Linked DNA regions of Styela clava. The protein of the gene in region 1 interacts with the protein of each later gene in a pairwise test. Links are inferred from orthologs where the notes say so. Each region holds a gene or a part of one and is shown in the gene's direction. Other genes may lie near its edges.

What was found.
Region 2: the proteins of pre-B-cell leukemia transcription factor 1-like (region 1) and C-terminal-binding protein 1-like interact in a two-hybrid assay, tested with the Drosophila melanogaster proteins (2 studies listed by BioGRID, with this or other methods). The link is inferred for Styela clava from reciprocal best matches to the Drosophila melanogaster genes exd and CtBP.

What each region holds. Positions count from the first base shown.
Region 1 is NC_135254.1:7,434,563-7,447,155, forward strand, and holds the start of pre-B-cell leukemia transcription factor 1-like, read left to right. Parts: upstream 1-7,665; 5' UTR 7,666-7,734; intron 7,735-8,106; 5' UTR 8,107-8,154; coding exon 8,155-8,181; intron 8,182-9,508; coding exon 9,509-9,684; intron 9,685-10,700; coding exon 10,701-10,774; intron 10,775-12,593. Other genes in the region: uncharacterized protein LOC120327068, read left to right, coding at 2,927-2,986, 3,098-3,426, 3,519-3,576. UniProt on the Drosophila melanogaster protein: Transcription factor which acts with the selector homeodomain proteins altering the regulation of downstream target genes such as wingless (wg), teashirt (tsh) and decapentaplegic (dpp), thus affecting segmental identity.
Region 2 is NC_135251.1:22,307,895-22,320,374, forward strand, and holds the start of C-terminal-binding protein 1-like, read left to right. Parts: upstream 1-7,589; 5' UTR 7,590-10,504; coding exon 10,505-10,633; intron 10,634-11,318; coding exon 11,319-11,460; intron 11,461-12,095; coding exon 12,096-12,302; intron 12,303-12,480. UniProt on the Drosophila melanogaster protein: Corepressor targeting diverse transcription regulators. Hairy-interacting protein required for embryonic segmentation and hairy-mediated transcriptional repression.

The sequences.
Region 1 (12,593 bases):
CCGTGCTTGTTATTTATATGTGAAATTCGGTCATGAAAGTCATGTCTACGACATTCAATCTGGTATTAATTATATTTGTTGTATGTCTGCTTATATTAGGGTGGCCATACGTACTGCTTGTGTATGATTTGCCTTCCGTTTTTAATAAAGAATTTACGTCCTCCGAGGACGCTTAAAAATGCCAAAATGTCCTCCTTTTTCACGGGATTAAATATTTGAATTTATCTTATGATATAATCAACAGTTTGTAATATGTCAAGTATCCATGCTTTGAGTCTGTTGTTAGTATACCCACTTAGTTCCCAATTTTAACGGCATTCTTGCAGACAATTGTACGATAAGGAAAAAATAACCCGGTAATGTTGACGAAGATCAAAAAAACTGCCGAATACTCACGGTCACCATTTACGGTTTGGAAATATGGTCACCCTAGCTTATATGTACGTCTGTTATATATCCTCTTATATGTCTGCACTTATTTGTTTGTTTTCATTACTTGTTCGTTTGTTTGAAACGTGTATGTGTATATTTTATGTGTAATAAATAAAATATCACACGACATAGCCACTATCTGTTGATTTGTAATTTAAACTCTCATTATATATCATGGCATCTCAGTATGTGAACACAGCTATTGTCGGCCAGTTTCCCGTCAGGTTATTTCCGAGGTGCCAGAAGATGAGGCTTTATTAGCTGAAGGAAAAAGTACTACGGGGCCTGATTGTTCTACCTGCAGAGCACTATTGTCTGAAAACAGAAGACTAAAATTCCAAGTAAATATTACGTTTTTTTTTGCTTAATTGTCGAAATTCTGGTGCAACCTAAGTGATAACCATTAACGTGTATTTTAGTCAATTTGAACTAACAACATAGTTATTGAGCTTGATTAAATCTTCTCGTTACTTGCATCTTAGATTTCACAACTACAAAAACAAGTGGAGAAACTGAAGGAAAATTTACATACATTTTTGAATCCTGACCAACTGGAATCACTGAAAAAGCCTCGTGGTAGCAGGGCAAATCAATGGACTGACGAAACAATTCTTTCTGCCCTGCAAATTAGATGTGCGACAGGAATTTCTGGGTATGATAAAAAAAAAATAAGTTCAGTCTCTGCTGAGATTCTAAAAGTTGTTAAAAACCAATTATGCGTAATTAATTTCTGGGCATGCTCAAAAAAAATATATTTAAATTTTGCGTTTCCGGAAACATGATACATATATATATATACGTAATACATATAAACATTGCGGTAAACGTCACCTTGAATGCAAATGAACATGATATATTTATTTGTTTTTTTAAGGTACGAATATCTGCGCAAAATAGCGTTCCCCCTTCCAGCTTATCGAACGTTATGTTCACGGGTATTCAAATTGGATCTGAAAGCTGGGGTTCAATATTTGATATTGGATTGGATGAAGACAAAAATGGAAGGCTTGGATACTCGTGCTCATTTGTGTTCGGTAATGCTGGATGAGGTTCAGATATCCAGAGGAGTCGACTACGACATTGGCATTAAGGAGTTTGTTGGTTATATTAACCCTGAAGTTCTTGGTGGAAAACCTCTAGACACGTTTGCCTCACATGCGCTATGTTTCATGGTTAAGGGAATTTCTCTGAAGTGGAAGCAGCTTATAGGTGGGGTGGAATACTCTTTGTTTTGCTCATTATTTTGTTGTTTTCTATCAAACATAGTAGGCTATTCCAATTTGCTGTGACTTCTCAGGTTATTTTTACACCGGAACTTCTGTGAGCGGAAATGACCTATGGTGCTTAACCAAACAAATGATATTAGCTCTATCAGAACGTGGATTCACGGTGGTTTCTATTGTCAGCGACATGGGATCCAGCAATCAAGCAATGTGGAGAAGTGCGGGGATAGTTTCTAACAGGTTTGAATAATTTTAAGGATGTGATATCCGCGTATACATATATCACGAAGAAGCCTATCCATTACAATTTACACCATATTAACTTCTCATTGCTTACTCTATTTTAGATTCGAAGTGAATTGGTCTGTGCCTCACCCTGCTTTCGAACATAGGAAACTTCATTTTATTGCCGACGTACCGCACCTTATAAAAAATTTACGAACAGCTTTTATGAATCATGACATTGAATTGCCAGCATCTGTCGTTACGAAATATAATCTTCCGACAAAAATGGTGAGTATCAAAAATGTGCTTGATAAAAATGCGCAGTAAGTGTATTATACCTATAGGCTAAATCTAAAATTTATCTAACCACAGGTTCGATTCTGTTACGTTGAGAAAGTGGCAGATGAACAGAGAGAAAAAGAGATGAAACTTGCCCCAAAGCTCACGGAGAAGCATATAAAACCTTCAAAATATCAAAAAATGAGAGTTGGTCTAGCGGCTCAGGTCTACCTGTATTTCAGTATATTTCTACCTATTTAAAAATATTGAAGTAACAGTATAAAAGTCGTAATTTCACATTTTTGCTGAAATAAAATATTGTTAAATCATTTTTTTTCTTCATAAACCAATGAGTTAGAATTTTACATTAAACTCCATCTTTCATAGGTTATCAGTCATAGTACAGCATGCGCAATAAAAACGCTTGTGGAGAGTGGCGTACTGCCAAGAGATGCTTTGTCGACATCATTCTTCTGTTCATTCTTCAACAAATGGTTCGATATTGTAAACGCCAGGTCCATTGATAATGCTCTGTTCCCTAACTCTCGAAAAAAGCTCGATCACCTTATCGAGGTCTGTTGTAAGTGACACATCATATATATTGTAAGTAAAATCGCATACTAAACGGGCACCAAATATTTTAGGTGATCGGCGTCGTACAGAATTTAGTATTTCCAGGAAACAAATCGAAGCCAATTCAATCCGGTATTAAGTTATCAACAACTTCGATAATCGGGCTTCATGCTGACATTGTGCTAGGCGGAAAAATGAATTTTTTACTACCTGGAAAACTAACACAAGATGCTGTAGAGAATTTATTCTCTCAGGTTATTTTTTGTCTTATCTTTCAGTACAGCGATAGAATATATTAAATAAATCGTAATTGCATTTATATAGTCGTATGGTGATCTCTGAATGAAATGTTTTTAACATCACAGGTGCGAAGTAAGGGAAATTCGCATCCGAAGGCATGTCAATTCCGAAATGCAATAAAATTAATATCGGTTGGTCAGTTTCTCCACGTTCCCTCGAGTGGAAATTACGACACGGACGACTCAGAAAACTTGATAACATTTATAAAAGAACATAGCAATGCCTCATATTCTTTGACGAATGATGAGCCACAACCGAACATCGAAATCAATGAAGTGGACGCACTTATTGAATCTGCAGTCGTCTGCATGGACATTTGCGAGTCCAACGGGCTTTATTATATTTTAGGATGGGCTGTTTTTAAAGAACTTAAAAATATAGAAAAATGTGAAACGTGTGAAAAATCATTTTGTAGGCAAGAATATACGATCAATATGAAGGATTGTCCCGAAGCCCTTTTAACACTTTTTAAATCATATAATAAAGACTTAATATCAACCGAAAATTCGATGCACCTGATTCATCCATCACTGTCCCTGCTTAAATATTTTCAACAACTGGAATCTATTTTTCGGCTCAACATAAAAACTTTAAAATTGCAGCCTAATCCAAAAGCATTATTAAAACAAAAAATCGAATGCTTAAGACGACCATTGTTCTCCAGTTGCCATAATTTAATTGAAAAAATTATAGATAGATACATTCTCTTGAGAATGCGAATTTATGCTAGGAGAGCAACCCAAAAAAGTATATGCCACCAATATGCTAGCAGAAGCGCTGCTCGCGCAACAAATATTAGGTAGTCAAAGACCTGTATATATATTTTGATTCCATTTTGAAATTTTTTGATTGTTTTTAATTTATTCGATTTTGTTAGGTACTCTTCGATGTTCTACTTCATCAACGTTACGGTTATCATTAATTATATTACACGAATGCATTTATACTATTAAAATATATTTTCAGCTAAATTCCGTCGGCCACTTACATATTGTTCAAATATACAGTATATTTTTGTCCTAGTGAACTATGCGTGTTCGACTGTTTGTTCCATGCGCAAGAGTAGTTACGCGTGTTCGGATTTATAGCAAAATAATACATAATTTGATAATAATAAATCCCATTTTCACAAGGTATTTGAATTGTGTAGGGTTTTTATTTTAAATAAGGACTTGGATCTAATTACATAAAATCCATTGTTGCGTCAGAATACTTGCATTGTTAAGCGTCAAATCGGTATGTCGCAATAAAGATCTCCGAGGACCTGATCGAAAAATTGCACAACGTTGTCTCTGCGGCCAATTTTTTTGCAATAGATAGTGTTGTACTTCATATTTTATTACATATTTACATAGTTCATAGCTTGGCGTTGAAAATCCACCCTTCGGTTTCAGTCTTGCTCCACTAACAGCTGAGTTATTTGATTCGGTACAACAACACGACGAAAATTTCCCATAAGACTCCATTGTTTCGTGTTTTCCAAATATGGCACAAGATGGCGTCCATGGACCTGTTTAACATTAGGCAAGTTGGTTGCCGGCCCTTGATATAAAACAAAGTCCTTATATACCTAAGTTGCGCAACAATGGAAATTGGCCGCCATTTTCGATCAATATCGCCTGCGAGGTTACGGCGGTTCTGCGTGATCCGCGGCTAGGCTGGTGCCTTCTGCTATAGAATTAAAGGCTGTTCGACTCTAATTGCAGCGGGAATAGCAAAACAGTGCAACTATTGAAGCTATCATCAGATGCAGAGAAGGAGGAAATGGGAAAATAACTGTAGGCGACGTAAAGGCTGGAAATCTGGCCCAGGCAGTTCCTTGAGTGAGGTTAGTCAAACGAATGGCCTAATGTCAAACTAACACCAGGAAAGATAGGTGGTACACAGTTTTAGGATGATGTCATATTTAATTATTTATGTCACGTTGCCGATTCGACTCATTTAAGTTAGCTCTGACCCCAGGAAAGTTGAGTTAAATTAGTAAGATTTTCTAAATGCTGGCTTCAGATGTCAGGTCAGCAGGTTAGGGAAACTGTTTTCAAATCTTCCTAAGTAATGCAAAGTCAGAACATTGCATTGAATGTATCAGATTTATTGTCACGATTGTTTAAAGCACTGCAGTAACAAAAATTTATAGTAATTAGCAGCAATATGAGTAGACAATTCGGAGCTTAGTGGAAATAATGAATTTCTGAACTGAATGCGTGTTTCGTTAAGTCACTGTCAATTATATTTTGTGTTAAAATGGGATGCTGAACGCTTGGTATTTCGAAAGTACGTTCATTGTGTAACCTACAACTCATTCCTTTTTCAGACTCACTTTTGAAGAATACCAATTTGAACCGAAGAGTACGGATAAATGGAAAAAATTAAAATAAAAGGGAATGACAATATTCGATGTGCCAAATCCACCAAAAAATTCAAATCATCAAGAATTGTATCAACTAAAATATTGACTGAGATGAAGTTTCAAAAAATAACAATAGGCCTACAGTGAGTTGTGAATGCCAAAGTAAACTCTAATTGCCAGTTTGAATGTCTCGTAAATCATTTCTTAAACGTTTTGGGTTTGATTGAAACAGCCGACTCCAGGACGAACCAGTTGTGTCAGAAACTTATAATGTTGGGTCATATAAAAAAGTACAAAAATGTGAAAATTGGGGGGGGGGGGGGGCATTTCCCTCTAATCGTTTTTGCGATATGAAACAACATAACACTTTCATTATAACACGGGGGTGCTATTTTTTTGCGTTTTTAATCAGCCACTCGTATGTAGTCGCCATCGCTTGGCTGACATGGGCAGTTCAGAGCTCGTGATGACCTAAGATGAGGAAGGTCGGAATGAAATATGGGGCTAACCGTCACTTGGTACACATACTGCTGAAGTTTCAATTATTGTACCTTTTTCATTTCTTTGTTATTTAATTGTTAAAATTTTAATTGTTGATCAATCGAATAGCACTTCTTTTCTATGTCTTTCATATTAAGGTATTTACATGCTATTCTTGATCAATTGAATGGTCTTTTTCTCATGTCTTTGATAGTTGATATGAAGTATCATTTCTTTTTATTGGTTAATCAAATTATTTCCAAATTCTAGACTATTAGTTTGTTTGTAATGGTTTCATGAATCATACTGTAACACCAAAGATTTAAATAAAAATGTTCACTATTCCTATGATAATCATTGCTCGCTTTGATTTGTAGACACGATTCCCAAGATGTGAATTATTGAATTTTTCTATTGATTGATCCTCTTGTGTGAGTCAGAAACATTTTCAAAACCCGACCTGCTAAAACTTATTGATAAGTACATTATAAGTATTAACATTCTTGGAGTGCAAGGTTGCAAAAATCCCAAACATATGTATAAAGTTCATGCAATTTTTAAACATTTTCAGATCATGACAAACCTATGAATAGAATTCCTCTTGCCCTATCCAATGTGTTTCTGTGTAATGTGTATGTCCACTGGGTTGCACTTTATTTTATTTGTTATTCACGCTCAGACACATCCTCATCACATTAATTTTTTTGTCCCTGATCCACTTTGTGTTTATAGCCAATTTTTTTTTTTTTCTGATTATTATCGTCCGAACCCCATTGAATTCAGGTATCAGTCAGGTATAATTTTCCATCACATCCCCTCATTTTGTTCACAAATTTATTGTAAAAATATTATCTAAATAGTTCAAGTTTTGCCATTAGTCATCTCTCAGGGTTAAACTTAATATTGATCACTTCGAATAGATAGACTAGAATAGATATTCAAGAATGAAAAAATTCCAAATTGTTTTTTGCGTTTTTCTCAAAATTGTGGCTATGGCTATTTTATTGATGACTGTATTTTTTGGTTGACAAAATATTGAAATCTCTCTCTCTCATTGTACTGCCATTGGTAAGAACGTTTACAACTCAGTTATGCAGCTGGAGCCTGGAGTGTCTAAAAAGGGGCGAATTTCTAATGTAACATTGACATCAATATTTAGCTACAGTCCCATTTGACGTCGCCTTCACTGTCGAAAAATTTAGTTAGTTTTAGTCATTTAGGCCTGTTGTAGTGTGAAACTGTGTTTGTCTACTATCCTAATGGAAACATCATCACGGAGGTCTTGTCACGCCATCGGGACGCTTCGGTTGTCAGTAAATTCCGGACGCCAGACGTCAAATCCGGGACTGTCCCTGCCATTCCCGGGACGGTTGGTAGCCCTAGCATCAGCAGGTCTTGAATAGTTTAAGATTTTGCCTACTTTCCCGATTTTCCGTAGGCTATATGAGTGTGTGTTGACTTGCATTGCCTATATATTTGTTTTAGTGTTACGAAAAACCGAAATAAACTTTACTTTACTAACCGTGCGTTGCGTCTATATTATGTTTGTTACCGAGCGTCGTGGGTTTTTAATGTAAATGCCCCGACATCCTATCGGATTTCTGCGCCCTCGGAATATAACTACTGATTTAAATCTGCCCCAATAGCCTTTTAAAACTACTAAAATTAGGCTTGTTTGCGTTACACTACTCGAGCCGAATGATCGAAAATGGCGTCCATATGACGCCATAATGGGACAAGTTAGTTGCACGGGGTTGATATAAAATAAGAGTAAATTCTAGTTTGACCACAAGTGGGCACTCGAAGTGTTTTTTTCACGCGCAAGTCGGTCGAAGTTGCGCTTTGCTGCTTCAAACTTTTGTTGCTTTTCGGGTAGGATGATATTTACTTTTGTTTATTTTGGCATATTTACTTATTTTGGAGGTTCTGTAATACCAAAACTGAGGATCTAATTTAGTTTATTAACACGAACAGGGACCTATGGGTCGTTTCATTTTTATGTAGTTGTGCATTTGTGTGAAAAAAACGCTTTTCTCATTATTTTTTTTTGTATAAAGTGGTACCGTAATCTATAAAGTAATACCGTAGCCTACTTACAGACTTATGTAGGTCAGGTAGATATCCATATTGGATTTTTTTGGTATGTAATGAACTATATTCTAGTGGCAGACTGGAGGTTATTTTTGTATTTAGACTACAGATTTAGTTCGTTCTTTTCATTTTGACATAATAAGTAATTTTCAGGATTTTGGATCTAGCAAAATTAAATTGAAGGAAATTCTGTGGCTACAAATGGATGAAGGGAATTACGGCAGCCAGGTGAGTTGCTCAATCAGTTGAAAAATGACTTTGCAAATTCTCATTTTGATTAATATTCTAATACTAGTTACATGTGTGTGAGTGTGAATGGTTTGATTCAATAGTTTTAGGTGAATGAACACGTACCACTTCTTTTTGGCAATACCCGTACCTTCCATCTTATATTCCAGTATTCTGTACGTTTTAAACCTTATCCAAGGTTTTGTTTACTCTGCTGATTTCATAATCAGTTTTTATTTATTTGTTTTTATCAACCGTTTTATGCCTTTTTGCTGATTATGGAGTCGAAATAAACTTATCTTATCTATCTATATCTGTACCGGCATAATCTCAAATGATATTGTCTAGTTTTCAAGATTTCACTTTCAATTGCTTACTCTAAGAGTCTATGCTGTTGGTTGTCCTTATGTAATCTGAAAATTTCGAATTACCCTTAAACTTGGATTCTAGATTTATAGTCTAGTAGAACTTCTGCATTAAGTGCATTATTTTTGCCCCAAAAAGCATGTGGCACTTAATTTATATTTATCTAATACAGTATGGCACAGTTCTTTGAGAATTGGAAGACCCCACATTGAAAGACATCAATTATAACAGTGAATGCAAACCCCTACTTTTGGCTTCGATAACAGCAGTGTAGCTTGGAGAGTTATGAAAAAAAATGCTATTTTGGTCCAGATGCCTTGGTTTCCGAGACAAATAAAGTGTTTGTTTTATTGCACCAAATGTGGGGACATTTTTGAATCAGGAAACTGTGCCCTACTGTAATTATGATATTGGTCTCATCAAGGAACCACGATTGTTCAAAAACACTTATAAATTTATGAAAGTCGAATATTTCTGTGTTTCATTGAAATCGTGGCTTCATGTTGCTCAGTGCAATCCTTATGCACATATCCACTATTCAAGCGACTCATATTTTAATTCATAATAGTTACTAGAGTAGAAATTACTGCTTCACACATATAGGTATAGGGAAATTGACACAGTCCACTGAAAGAGAATCTGTCGCCGAGCTACCAAATCCCACAGAACCCCAATAAGCGCTTCGTGGAAACAATGTTGAAAAGCATTGGGCTACAGTGTTCACTATCAGCGCACTTTTTGCAAAAACTGCGAGGTACTTTGGCAATTCTTTTTGAGACTGTGAAATTGTTATGACACTAGATACTACACTTGAAATTCTAATACATATCCCCTGCCAGTTTGATTTGGCTGCAAAATTGGTGAAAACGTTAAACACAATATATGTCTTTGGACAAAAATAACCCTACAGAATCAGCAGGGTGAATTTTGCATTACTAACATTATTATTTTGCGTTCCCAGGCATTTTTGCAAGGGCAAATGCACGGAGGTGGAGATTACAATCCACGAGGACAACAAGGCAACGATGTAGATTCACAATCAAATATTCTACCTCTCGGTAGAAAACAAGACATCAGTGATGTTTTGCAACAGATTATGACGATTACTGACCAAAGTTTGGACGAAGCTCAAGCCAGGTTATTTTGGAAATTTTATTTTCACTCTTGTGCTGATGAAACTTTTACAAGATGTCTGAAAATATGTTGAATAAATTTCTAATTGTTACTTATCGATCTTAAGATCGGTAAGTATGTTGATAGGTATTTGTCTGTTTGTCTGTTAGATGAACGCGATATCTCACGAACGCGTGGTTGAATCTGCTCCAAATTTTGCATGTGCATGCATCTTACCTCGGACCAGAAGCCTATAGATTTTGGGTTAATTATGTCGTATAATTAGCGAGTTATTAACTAATTACCGATCTAAGATCTATAAGTCTTCGGTCTCCGACCGATATTCTCGTTTTCACTTTATTTACACCTTTAAATCTGTAGCGGGAAATCTCAAACTATGTAAGGTGGTGGTAAATTAGGTGTCTTAGGATGTTTGCACCAAACATGTCTGCCTATATGGTACATTATGTTGTCTATCTATACCAGAGGAGCAAGATTTTTGCACCAGGGGCTAAACAATTTTGCCCACCTAGACTAGCGGGCCATGTAAGTGTGACATGAAACGTTACATTTTATGAACGATATTTGCAGTGTTACAATATTTGCAGTGTTACAATAAGCCTCATGCCAAAATCAAATTTAATCGTAATCTCAACAAATTACTTGGGTTATGTTATTTTTTGGATAAAACATCAAAATTTGGTTTTAGTTTATTTGTGGCTGCATCAGGCGGGCCAGATTGAATTACCAAACTTACTTTGCCAATGTCAGATCAATACCCATGTTTGACTGTTTTACAAGTTGTGCTCAAGGCTGGGATTTAAACTATAAGAATAAACTTAGTATTGATAGCTCACCAATGAATCGAATATTTGAATATAATATGTTAAAAGTTTTCAGGATATTTTTTATTTGCTTCCTGGGCCGTGGATATGCTCCCATTCACAGCCAAAATTTTCAAGTTTTTCATATGCTGCGTGGTTCTCTTATTTCTATTTGCTATAAATTAACTTATTAATGCATATTATTCATGTTTTCAGGAAACATGCATTGAATGTTCATAGAATGAAAGGAGCTCTGTTTCAAGTCCTTTGTGAAATAAAAGAAAAATCAGGTAAGATGAAGTACAGATTGTCAGATGTTTGACAGGGAAATTTAGTTGCTTACTAAAGTTGCTTTAGTTGCAAATTGTCTGAGATACATTAATAATGGGGCTCCTGAAGTATGCGAACCAAGATGGTGGACATCGGAATGTAATATGTGTACTAGGTTAGGGTTAGGCCATAATTTTAGGTACAAATACTACAAGAGGCACTTGGCTAGTCTTCGAACTCATAGTAGGACTAAAATAGGGAAAATTGGAATAAAATTATGGCCTAACTTTAACCTGTTACCCATGCTACGTTTCGATGTCCGCCATCTTGGTTCGCATACTTCAGGAGCACCTTAATAATAATGTTCGTCAATTTTTGTCTCTTATTTCTGTATGTAGCATGATTACAGTGATGTTTTAACAAGATCATGTTAATGTCTGAGAATAGCTGGATTATGGGATGTTCTTATGGCAGTGGTCCCCAAACTTGATTGACCGGGGGCCAAAATTATAAGCGGAAGGATGCGGGCCAAGAGAGAAAGTGCCCGCAAGGGGCCCATACCCGTACCGGTACATATAAATAACATATCGATATATTTGAATTGTTACAATAATATAATGATGATCATGTAACAATTTTGTGGTATCTTGGAGGCAAAAAGAAAAAACATAAAGTGTCTAACTATTTCACTTAAGTTCGGCGGGCCATATTAAATCGTTACAGGCCTTGATTTGGGAACCACTGGTTTATGAGATGTTTTATTCTGTTTGAAATAGGCTCCACACAAAATGTAATGGCAGATTGTATTTGGATGAATTGTATCATTGGAATCCACTTTCATATATCTTTATAGGAGTAGTCCGTGTCCGCCGTTGACGAGTCTTTTCGGACCTGGAGCCCCGTGAGGGCGCTGGGGCACGGCCGATCGCATTCGCTTTGTTGGGGCCGTAATCATTTTATAAAATATAATATATTTCTTTTGATTGTAATTTTCAAGTCACTAATATTCAAAAATTATCTAACGCTTTTTAAAATAAAATCAAAATTTATTCGAATTTTCCAACTGAATCATACCAAAACCAAGTGAATAATTTAAGATGATATTCCTTAATTCCTTTTATGCTATAGAATTTCACATTTCGATCATCCTTGCTTTGAAGTTGGCTTAACGAAGTATTAACTTTACAAAAGTCTGATTTAATCCGGCAGAGAATGTGTTTGAACTTGTGAATCATGCAATTGAACTGTGTTATAATTGTAATTGATCAAAGCAGAAGATTAACAGTGGATTAAATTCATTTAATCGTTTTTGAGAAAATTCATCAAGTTCATCCAGAAATGTTAAACAATATTTGAAATCGGCTTTACATTTTTTTTATTTTTTTTGGGAGGGGATGCAATAATCAGTGATTATTTATTAACCACAGTTTTAAGAAATTAAGAAATGGAATGAAGGTCTTTTATTTATATTGTAAGACTTCAACTGCTCAATCTGACAATTTTAAATTGAAACTAGTCCAAATTATTCTTGATACCACAAATTTAAAATATTGAATATAAATAATAATTATCTATGTTTCCATATGTATATTAGATTAGATTAGGACATGATTAAAAGAGTGATGTGTTAAAAATAGGGATGAAAAATAGGGGAAAGATTAATGTTATTTGAAAAGATATATAGGGTGTCCATAAAGTCTGACTTTATAACAAAATTGAAATTGTAATAGGACTTTATGGACACCATGTATTTCAACTATATATTAAAAATATTGAAATCACACTGGCCACACTGATTACACTAGATCTGTATCGAACATTTCATATGCACATTACCAA
Region 2 (12,480 bases), on another chromosome or scaffold:
GTTGTTGTTTGATTCCAAATACTAAACCAGGTGACGTGATGAGTGACGTTATTTTGTTTGGATGTTTGTGACACTCACATGACGGAATCTCAAATATTTGTTTCCTTAAAATTGTGCCAGGCTCAAAGTTTTTATAATAATATCCCTAATATGAGATTTGCTTTACATGAGTTATCGTTCGATAACAATTTATAAATGTACAATATTTTACATATCCTGCCTTTCGGAGTTAGGAATGCAGGTTCTGAATACAAACGGCTATTATAAAAAAGCATAATGAAAAGTTGTATTTGATGAAGGCTTCTGACATATTAAACTGACTATAGACTGATTCTAATTTTGATTGCGAAACAGTATATTTCTTTACTCTGTCTGATAACATTGTGGAAAATCTCTCCATATATAGATTAGCGACGAAATGTTTTGCATGTATAGTATTTCTTCAATTATATGTCTAGAAAAAGGCCCTCGAACTCAAATACAGAATCCTTCAAACGTAAAACCATCTGCTTTTCCGATTAGGCGTGTGTATGCGCCATTTTACGTGAGAATGTTTTTCTTTGCGTTGGTATACCATGCATAAGTGCAAGTCATTGATTATCCGGAACGCCGAGTACATTTTGTTTTAAAATTTTGCCATTTGTGTTCTTGCATTTTACGGTGCGGTTGCCTGGCTACTTTCTGCATTACCTTTGATTAGTCGAGCGGAAACGCATTCATTGGGACAACAAAGCTAAAAACACATACTATTGGTACTCAATTTTACACTTTCTAAGAACTGTGTAATACATGGACGCAAAAATAAGCAAAAGTCGTTTTCAAGAATATTTAAGTTAATTCTCTATTTTCAATATCAACACCTAGAGTTGGATCGAATTTCTTGAAATAACTTGGACAACAAGCTAGAACATTAAACATGCCCATCATTGATAAACCCCGCATTGATATTCTGTGCCAGAGAGTTTACTGCATTATTATTGAGCTTTCTAGCAATGTCTATCACTCGCATGGTATAATTGTCTGGTCTTGTCTGGTCGAAGGCGTCAATAAACAAAGTCTGAATTGCGCCACAAAAGTATTATTCTGAAAATATAATTTAGTCATTTGTCGATTTGACTAATGCTTCGATCAAGCATGTCTGATATATCCCAGATCCTGCTTTTCGAAGACCATGCGCATCAGCCCGATAGCGGCTGAGCGGCCCGCTTCGATGGACCGTACCAAACAGTAAGGGAATATTCACTACTACTTCATCAAATATAATTTGTCGTAAAAGTAAAATAATTCGTAAGCAAAAAACTGCAATCTGCTATACTTGGTCAGTCCATTCAAAGTAAGAGACAAAATATTCAACATAATTGGCTCCACTTGATGGGCAGTGATTAAGTGGGCTATATCTTAATGGTGAAAACGTTGGTCTACGTATATATGCACAATTTAATTATATGCGAAATATGGCGGAATCTCTTTAGTTATGTCATGCTACAGAATAATACATTTGGCAGTCTTACATTCTATTCTTAGGAAGCGTTTTGATGAGTCATCACACTAGGACGAAAGAAAGTTTAGAGATTTCAATTCTAGTTCGTGCATATTGTGTCGATGTTTTCTAATGACTAAGCATGACATAATCATTAATATGCACGTAGTAATATTGAGCATACCATGTGATATCCAATTTGAATTCGAGAAGAAAGAGAAAAATTGTAATCAGCGATATAGAATTTAATATATGTTGAGTATATAGTTTGCAAGTCTTTAATACGTAAATGCATTATTAATTATAAACTAAAAACACCTAACAGGACCTAAAAATTTAAAACTTCATAAGAATAGGATTTACAAGCCAGCCTATACGTGGCGCCATAGGTTAATGTACACATTTGTAAAGACAAAGTTTCAAGCCTGAAATATATTAATGCTAAATCCACATGCAACAGACAGTTGGTAGGAGAAGGAATGAATATAGATGGTCCCGAGCGACCATGGAATTGACTCTTCCGAAGAAGACTGCCATATATAGACCACAAGTTTGATTTACTTTGGTAGCTACGCAAAATGTGTGCTTCCGACTGTGCAATGATTTAGGTAAAGACTAATTTTAAATGTCTCTAGCAAATACCTAAACCTAATTATCTAATTCTAACGTGCGGAAAACTTGATTCTTAGAAATGAGTATAGGAAACCTCAAGCCCGCCTAAGGCCGAGAAGACTAGTGCGCGATAAAACACGAATATTCTTCAACGGAGTTTAAAGTAAGCTCCTGCTGACAAAAATATATTTAAAAGATGACTCTACTTACTTTTGTGACGAATATTTTTCCGGCTGACGATAGCCTCGTTATTGACGTGTTCTTCTTACTAAAGTATTATGATTCTAAAACTTCAATATATACTAATCTGTTCCCTGTGATAAAAAAAACGGTATTTAATAATGATCGATCGAATCGGTCAATATTAATCTCACATAAGTTTTATACAACATTACAAATATTTTACACTGTCTGATACAAATACAAAATATGGAGTTCCTAAATTAAATTATACTACTCTATGACAATTTTGTTGAACGAGAGAACCAACCAAAATATCCAACATACCTAAGGCTAAGAGAGTTCAACCTGAACGCAATTATTTTGATAATTACAAGCTAATCGCAACTAAACAAGGAGTGACTACGCTATTTTTTATCGCGTGATTTTATACTTTCATAACCGCTGTGTCATGTTTACTATTACATTTCTCGTCTTCTAATTCGCATATGTTTGATTTGAAGTTCAATCAATCGCGTCACCAAATGAAAGTTGTTACGTTAAGCGTTACGGTCTTGTATTAAAATAGTTTGCAATTTTAAATTCCAAATCAAAATAACCATTATAAATGATGACAATTGCTACAGCGATTACTGTAGGCAATAAATACCTTGTGAACCACAATTATTGTTATCGCGAATTGACACTTAAATAAATCATAAGAAGAAAAAAGTTGAAAAGACACACAAATGGCACTATTTCGATTCGCAAGCTTTAAAAAAGCAATTGGGCCATTTTTTAACTATTTGACAATTCATGTTGGAATGATGGAAAATGAGCATCATTCGCCAGGCAATATTTTGATCTAAAATTAGGACCCTAATTTGTTTAAAATTGTTTAATTCAAGATAAGCACCCATACTATATATATATTGGATTTGCCATATAAAATTACGTAAAAAAAAGTTGCAACTTACTGATCAGGAATGATATTCAAGAAGTCCAATTCTTTCGATATTATTACAGATATCATTTCAGTCATTGGTGAACGGACGATAGATAAACACATATAAGACTTTACCTTTTTCACAAAACATGAGGAATTTTGCATAAAATCCCTCTGCAGTGTAACAATTGTCTATAAACAAGGTTTGGGTATTGTAAAGTGGAAATACCTCATCTGATGTGTCAAGCTCACATTATAGCCAACACTGTTCAGATTCTTTTGACTTCAAGCCAAATCATCGAAGGGTCTAGGAAACAGCAATGCAAAATATCTGTTGCAGGTAGAAGTCCCGAATTGCGTGCCTGTTCAGTCTTTCACAATTGCACTTACATGTATTGATAATCCCTATCTAACTCATTCGGATGCCAATATACCGCACATTATTGTGTTTCCAATTGTCCATTATAGTAATGTTGCACAATCAAAATAGAATTATTCAAAGTAACAGACAAGATAGCAATGCTTAAATATTTAGACACGAAAGTCGAAACGAAATATTTTTACCCACAATTCCCCCAAAATCATGTCCTGAACGAATCTCGAACTGTGTAACAGTGATCGTAACTAGGTCTAGTGTGGTTTAGTGCCACAAGTATATTTCTAGTGGGCATGGCGTAACAATTTTTTGAATATATAGCTGACTGCGTTATTAAAAAATCACGTCACCGAAACGTCACAACCACGTAATGGACCTTTCCCCGAGCAGCGACTTCCTTGTTTACTTCGTGACATTGGCCAATCAGCAAGATGCAAAAAGTGACGTAACAATGCCCCCTTTTCGCATCCGCTCAGACACTTTTCTCACTCAGACAGATTTTCAAGCGCGGTTGTAAACATTACCTCGTTTTCGCGTTTTTGAACTCTATTCGTTAGTTTTCAGTTCTGTTTCGGAAACTTAAATAAAAATCAGATAATTCAATGATCACTCTGTCTTCCTAGGAGTTTTAATTTAATTGCAGTAATAAAAATTAGTGTAGAAATAGCTGTGATAGACTAGCCTGAAATTCTTTACCGGTACTTTTAAAAAACAGATTGTTGTATGCGATGAATCATAATGATGGTTTGAAACACATACCCCATTTTACAAGCGCCAACTCGCAAAAGCACTCTTAAAATAGCCCTGAAAATTTTGCAATGGTAAAGTATAGGAAGAATTTTCCGGGGGTCAAAGGTCGGGGAAAGGTCCATAGATCTTGCCAGCGTAGAGCTAGCGATCGTCCGTAATGGCTTCTGCGACAAAGATAAGAAACTCACTGAAGCCAGCTATTTCTCATGTATTAGGTGATTGACGACTGTGAGGTAATTTTTGAATGGCGTAGTCATCAGGAGGTCAAGAATGAAATATTCAATAATTGCTGGTACTAAACTGTTCCCGTCAATAAAAATGAAACTAGATGAAATATCAGATCTCATAAGATTCAAGGAAATCTAGGAATAAATAAAAGTAATACCGACTAGAGACAAAAAACAATCTTTTACAACTGAAATTTTCGAAGCTATTGGTCCAGTAGTTAACAAGAATAAAGTACCGCCACCACCAACAACATAATAGCAAAACGATCCATAGCTCCATTTCGTGTTCAATAAATGTTATTCTGTGAAATAAACCCTACACCTTAGCGCTATCTAACGATTTTACTCGGGGTCAAATGAATTTTATATTCAAGTGCCAGCCAACATAATTAATATCGTTGATGGCTTATTTTCATTAAAAGTCTTAATCTCTATGCTGCGCCACTCAGTCACTACATCAATACAATTGTTGTAATAAATAATGATAATAAAAATACATCAATGCGCCAAAATATGGATACTAAAGTCAAATATCAAATAAATGAAATAGCCAAACTCTGGGTGAAACATCGTTTCATATGAGATTCTAAAGCAGGGGTCGGCAGCTTTTTGTCGCTCGCGGACCAAAATTAGGGGTTGCCAGTCTTGGCGGGTCGCATATCTTTTTAGAAAGGGAAATTCACAACTCGTGAAATCAACTTAGTCGTCTTATCCAAAGAAAAGTTTACAAATGAAATTTAATGCGACACTTTTTGTTGCATCACGCCTGATACGTTTTCGACATCACTAAATGGGAAACATTTTCTAAATGGGACACTGGTAAAAGCCAAGATTAAAACATTTTATAAAAGGGAATCACTGATCCGAGTTCTCAACTTAATTTTTGTACTGTTCATTTTCGAAAATAATTGTTTGTATGCATATCTACTTCCAAACATCGATGTGAATCTTTTCGCAAAGTTTGTCAAATTTGGATAGAATTTTCCTTCAAGGACATACTTTTTATGAAAATCAAGCAGTGAAACATCTCTTGAATAGAATATAGCTTTATTTCCTCATTGCATTGCACTTCAAATTCCATTCAAATATTTACTGTTCCATCGAACCCTTTGCACTTAGCATCAACTTTTTTGCGTTTTGTTGCCATTTGTCTAATTATAGTTAAGTATAGGCTTTTTAAACGAGTAATTGTAAATTATATACTTGTTAGGTTATAATATAATTTAGTCTACACGTGTTTCACAATAAATCATGTTAGGTAAAGAATATAATCGTTATAACAGCGGTTCCGTTACTATAATTCAGTGGAGCGTCGCTGGCCGGATTATTTTACTCCGCGGGCCGGATTTGGCCCCGGGCTGTAGGTTGCCGACCCCTGCTCTAAAGTCTGAATAAAGAAAATAAATTAATATAACCTCTATAAGCACTACAAATTTGAAAGCTCTTGCTTCTTTATCTGGGAGGAAAGCGATTCTTTTTCACAACAATAATAACAACCCCAATAACAAGTAATTAGACAGGGTTCATCTTGTTCAAGAATGTGATGAGTGAGCTATTGACCAAACCATTTTTGTTAAATGAAAATAAGTTCTATTGCATATTATGTGATGGGTCCGTTTAGGTGATGAATTATTAAAAAAAGTTCTTTCTGGATTGTATTTAGCATCCCAGTGCACCATCAATTCAAAAATAATCTCCTCAAAAACGATTCTTGGGATATTGCGTAGATCGGAATTATCTAGGTTCATGGATAATTGCGGTCGGCAACCTTTAGCTGGTCGCGGGCTAATATCAAATCTTATAGGCCAGATATTTATATCATACAAAACAACGTGTATGCAATGCGTTTTACACTGGTTGGAAGGAGTGCTGCATGAGGGCGAGCGATGAGACTGCTTGTTACCAAAAACTAATATCTTTTATCTTTCTATTTGAATGATAATTGCTCGCACCCACCCTTATATAGGCCGGCCGTGGGTTAACGACTCACGATCGCTCCGTTTTAGCCTAATCACAATGTTTCGAGAATCTTTCGAATATACTGTATGTTATGAACCATTTTAACCAATTTTTTAGTTTTTATTAACCTCGAAGATTATCACTCACCCACTGCCATTTTGCCTGAGCAGTGGATATCGGTAGCTTCGAGCAGCCCAGTGCTGAAGTCAAGGGTCTGGCTGAGCGCGCGTGTTTGGGTGTTGCAGTGTCGGGCATCATAATAGGATACAGGGATAGGATGGGATTTACGGTACATATTTATCCCGGGGGAGAGGAAAGCCGATAAGACTGCCTCTCGTCCGGTTACCATTCCAAGTCGGGTATGGGATTAGTTACCGGTATATTGTTTGTTTCGGAAGCATGGACTTGGTGGTTGAGGAAGCCGTAACCGACCAGCGGTTACGTGAACCACCCAACGACGGCGAGGAGTCCAGCAATCGTCTCGCACATAACCATCCCTGCATGGGATTCGAACCTGCGAACCCACGCAGAGTAATTAGAGGTGCGGTGGCGAGCGTATTTCTAACGCTTAGCACGTTGAGCCACACCGCCGCGGCATACCTAATACTCTTGTCAGTTTGTGATGTGCGTCCTGGTGTCAGTACATTTTGATTTCAAAGTATCATGGCAGTCGCCGATTAAAACGCCAAAATGGGAAAGTTCATGTTTCAGCGTTCTGATTATACATTCAGAATTTACCGTTACGGTAGGAAAATAAGTATATACATTAACGACAGCATCATCAATCACATGTATTTTCAGTAAATCTCTGTTCTGAAGTTAGAGCTGTAGAATGGCGTCAGCTATTCGGTCGATGTGGACATAGCCTACATATCGACCGAATAGCTGACACCATTCTACAGCTCTAACTTAAGAACAGAGATTTACTGAAAATACATGTGATTGATGATGCTGTCGTTAATGTATATACTTATTTTCCTATTTGTACATACATGTGTCCCTTATTTATTATTTAATTATTGAAAATTCCACTTTGTTGGAACCATGAAAAAAAAGAAAAAAAAAGAGATTTACTTACATCTGTAATTTGAGAAAATCCTCATTCTGTCATTTGATTGTTTTTGTCAAGACTCGATTGATGTTTCGTATCGACTATCAGACTTACAGATTTGACATGGTACCGGTATCTGACCTATCATTCAGCATTTTGTAGCAGAAACTGAGTCAGTGAGTAGACATTTTCACTTGCTCAAAATAAATAGAATGACTTGATGCAAGTCTGATGTTATTATCTAGTAGGGTATTGTAGTCGGCTAGTGCTGTAGTAGTGAAGTCTGAGAAAAGTATGAACAATAATATAATTATAATTAATCCTATCCTATTGAATACCGCAATGTCAGAATATGTCCAATGGAATGGTAGAATGGGATATGAAATTATTCAACACCGGAAATTGAAAATGAAAGTCGCATTCTGAACAAACACACTGGACAAAGACTGTCTCCTAAAGGAGGGGCTTGAATTCACTGTTATACTTGATGATTATTAATGTGGGGGCTATTCTTGAAATCAGAGAACTTTGCCCTACTGTACTGCAAATGAACTGAAAGTACTCACATGGACCATATTCTTTCAATTTTTTTTGTTGGAATACAGGAATAAACATGTAGCTTATAATAAAGCTATGTAAACCATTTTCGAATCAAAGATTGGAATTTCGGGCTTAAATTATCACATTTGGTTTGTTTTTAGAAAAGTATAATACAGTTATAATGTGAGTTTTAGAAAATTATGGTCGAAATGATTTGTCTGAATAAAACGAGCTTTTTTAGCTGCATGGCCATTCATTGTTGGTACTTAAAATTATGCTTTTCAAATTTGTTATATTATTCATTTATTCAATGAGATAATTATAAAAATAGTAATTTACACTATTTTTGTATAAATTATATACAAATTTGGAAAGCTATTTTTGTACATATTTTTATCAAAAAATTGTTCATAACCTTTATCAACAGGACCTGATTAAACATAGTCACACATTTATATGTGACAGCTATTTCCTTTGAATTCTGACATAAAATATATACCTATATGTACATACACATATATGTATATATTGTAAAATGTTGAGAGTCAAGATTGACTGTATATTGTAAAATGTTGAGAGTCAAGATTGACTGAATTTAACTTAGCAAATAGAAATGTGCATTGTTCAATTGGTTCGTTTGATTTAAATGGGTGTGTCACTTTTGAAATTTTTCATCAGAAGAACTTCAATTATGTTCAGTACGGTCTGTTTATTTAATTACTTTTCATTCAGTTGGCTTATTCAAAAGTCATGTTAAATTTTTCATACATATTACCGAGTTACCGTATCATAATAACTGTCATACATTACACAAATGAAAAAAGGTATAAAACAATTGCAACATTGAATATTTATGATGTTCTAATATCATCTAATTCTGATAATTCTACAATGAAGTAACGATTAATGCATAATATCATTAACATGTTGTACCTTGTAATATTTGCATTCAGAATAACAAGGAATATTTTGTTAATTGAATTGAATAAGGTAAAAGTTTATAAACTGTTTATAAACTTCAATTTTGCGAGAATAAATTTCTGTGATTCATTTTCAATTCGAATTGTGAATGTGATGCTGATTATAGATGATCCTTGTTTGTTGTTGTTTTAAACTAGTTACTCGAAGACAAGAGTAATTTAATAGTGTGCCATTCTCCATTTATTTGCATTTTTTTATTCCGTTATATTTATATTCAACTGCAGAAATACCATTCCAAATTTTTATAGTTTTGCTATATAAAATGTTTTCCTAACTGTGTATTAATTCAAATTTTTTAAGCTAGTTGACGCTATTTGTATTAGGATGTTGCACAGTTTGAACTAGGAATTCTGGAAAAAATCAAATAGGCTAGTCGATGATTTTCAGATTTTTAAATTGTTTACAATAAAGTTTTACTTTTGATAATACTATAGTTCACAATAATTTCATTTTAAAATTAGCTTTTGATCAATTGATGTGTGAGAACAAATAGTTTACATTCAACCTTAAAAACTACCGGTTTGTATCCAAAATATTCGGTTTGGACATTTCCCGATTTGAAGTAGTTTTAGTATTTTATAGCACATTTCATTAGCTAAGTAAATATATTGTCAACATTGCACCAAACAGTTTAGTTGTAATAATTTATTTTGTTTTGGCGGGTTTTCTAGCCATGGTTTATGATGACTAGTGAATTCCCCACTCTAAATTTCACATCAAGTAAGGCTGTAAATACGATACTAAAGTGTTTTGCTTTTGGGTAATATGGTTACTCAGGAAATAAAGTACACTTCCTGCCGGCATCATATTGTTTTCCATCAGCATGTGATTTTCTTAGTAGGAAAAAATATTAAATTACTACCAGAAGCTGTTTCCTGTAATATGGCGCTATATTCAATTCAGCTACGGGAGTATAGAGGCATTACAACACAATGTTCTAGTAATAAGTCCTATGATATTTAATTCACATGTATAAGTCCATTAATGCAAGTTCTTTATACGAGTTCATTTGGATGGCGATTACGTTAGTTGAAAATAATTTTGATTGTTTTTTAAAGAAAAGATTCTTAGATTTGAAGCTACCAGTGTGTTCATATTCTAATTGGAAAATTCTAATAATGTGAAGAGACTTTCCATAATGCATGGCTGGAATCAAAACTAGTCTTGAATTAAAGACACAAATGACGGTTCTTAATAAAGTTTATTCTAATGACAGCTCTATAATAATAACGCTTTCAAATGTTTAATAGTTGTATCTATTTTGAAGCCAATTATATAAAATTATCACTTATTTTATTTATTAGGAATTGCATTTAACATATTTAATTCATGCTGCCAGATTTTTCTGTAATTGTGTATAATATTAAATAAGTAGGTTATATCAGCCATTGCATGACTTAGACTAATTTTAATCACAATCACCATGGCTGGAGGAAGGCCTTTGGTAGCCTTGTTAGATGGAAGAGATTGCAGTGTGGAGATGCCAATTTTAAAAGACATAGCAACAGTAGCTTTCTGTGATGCTCAATCAACACAAGAAATACATGAAAAGGTAATGATTGGAACTGTTTTGAGTTGAAAAAAAAAAATTTTTTATGTAATTGAACGGAAAATTCAAAAAATGTTTGTGGTTATTTAGTATAAATACTTGGAATTTTTCAAACATGTTTATCGTACTAATTAGGAAGTATCCATCTCCTAATATTTTTTGTATGAATTTTTGTTTTGGTTTATTTTGATTTCTGTTGTTCAATATTTAATAGTATGCTGCTGAAATGTGATATGTCATATTATGTGATTTACAGAATCTTGAATTTGCTACCAACATGATGGTTTTGTTATTAAATCAAACTCAATTAAATGATTAGCACTCATTTGAATGCTCTATCATGAAATTCATTCATATTTTATTCTTCAAACTGCCAATATTTATCTAACTTTAACGGAGGAAACTTGAAAAAAACCTTTTGGGAAAATTTGGGAAAAGTATTTTCTTGACTTCTAAACATCTCTGCTTTTCACTGAAATAACTTTGGTGAATATCGTTTCAAACTTTGTTCAGAAAAGCTGCTTTTAAATTTTTTTGTTGGAAACTTTCAACATTCACCCTAGCATGTTGAAACCCTCAAATTGAGATGTTTGATTTGATGGATGACTGCTAATGTTTCAATTTAAAGGGGGGTTAAAGTTGTGAGTTGTTGCTATATTTGTTTATATCATACTGTTTATCTTTCAAGGTGCTTAATGAGGCTGTTGGTGCATTGATGTCACGCATTCCTTTGACGAGAGAAGATCTTGAAAAATTCAAAGCCCTTCGTGTCATAGTTTGTATAGGGTCTGGATATGATAATGTTGATATAAAAGCTGCTGCTGATATGGGTAGGCAAAACTGAAAAAATTTCAAAACAATACATTTTACTTTGATTTGGGTATTCTGCGTATGAAATTGGAGTTTATAATGACTGGATATGGTTTTGATCGTCTTTTCAATAGATATATTTTTATAAATCTTTACTTCAAATTTTTCTTATTGCTAATCTTTTGAGGTATTTAACATCTTCACTTTTGCACAATGCTTATTTGGGCAGATAGAGCTAATATAGTTTAGAAAGGAATGGAATATTTCTCTTTGCTTAACGCAATGGTTCTCAAACCTGAATGATTTGTGGCCACTTCCAAAGATTTTGCTGAATAAAAAAAAAAATTAGATTTGCTTTTGACACTTCTCCATCAGTTGTTTTATTCGTTACATTTAATATTAAAAAGATAACGAATGAAAGCAAAAGAATAAAGCACTGCAGTCAAAGAATTAAACAATTACGGTCAATTTACTTTCAATTGTTGTAGTTATCACAAATGGCATCTATGCCTTGTGGCTCCCAGAAAACCACTTTGTGGCTCGCTAGGGCCCAGTTTGAGAAGCCTAATGCTTGCCTAGGTTATGTTGTCTGAATTTCTCATTTCATGCAAGTTTGTTTTCATGTGATATAGCTAAAGACATTTCTTTGTTTCAGGAGTGGCTGTGTGTAATGTACCTGCTGCCACAGTTGATGAAGTTGCCGACACAACAATATGTCACATATTGAATTTATATAGAAGAGTAACTTGGTTACATGAATCAGTAAAGGAAGGCAGGCGACCACAGAACAGTGAAAATGTAAGAGAAATTGCTGCTGGAGCTACAAGAATTCGTGGAGAAACGTTAGGAATCATAGGATTAGGTCAGTCATCTTCAATATACTTACCGTAGTTGCATTAGTTTTATCATTAGTTTTTAAGAAAACGAAATTATTACTTTTTCACACAGTTATAGCATAAACATTTTCAATTGTTATTATCGTGTTTGACTGTTTTCCCAGTGTATTAATGCTTAATTACAAAGATTTTTATACCGCTTGT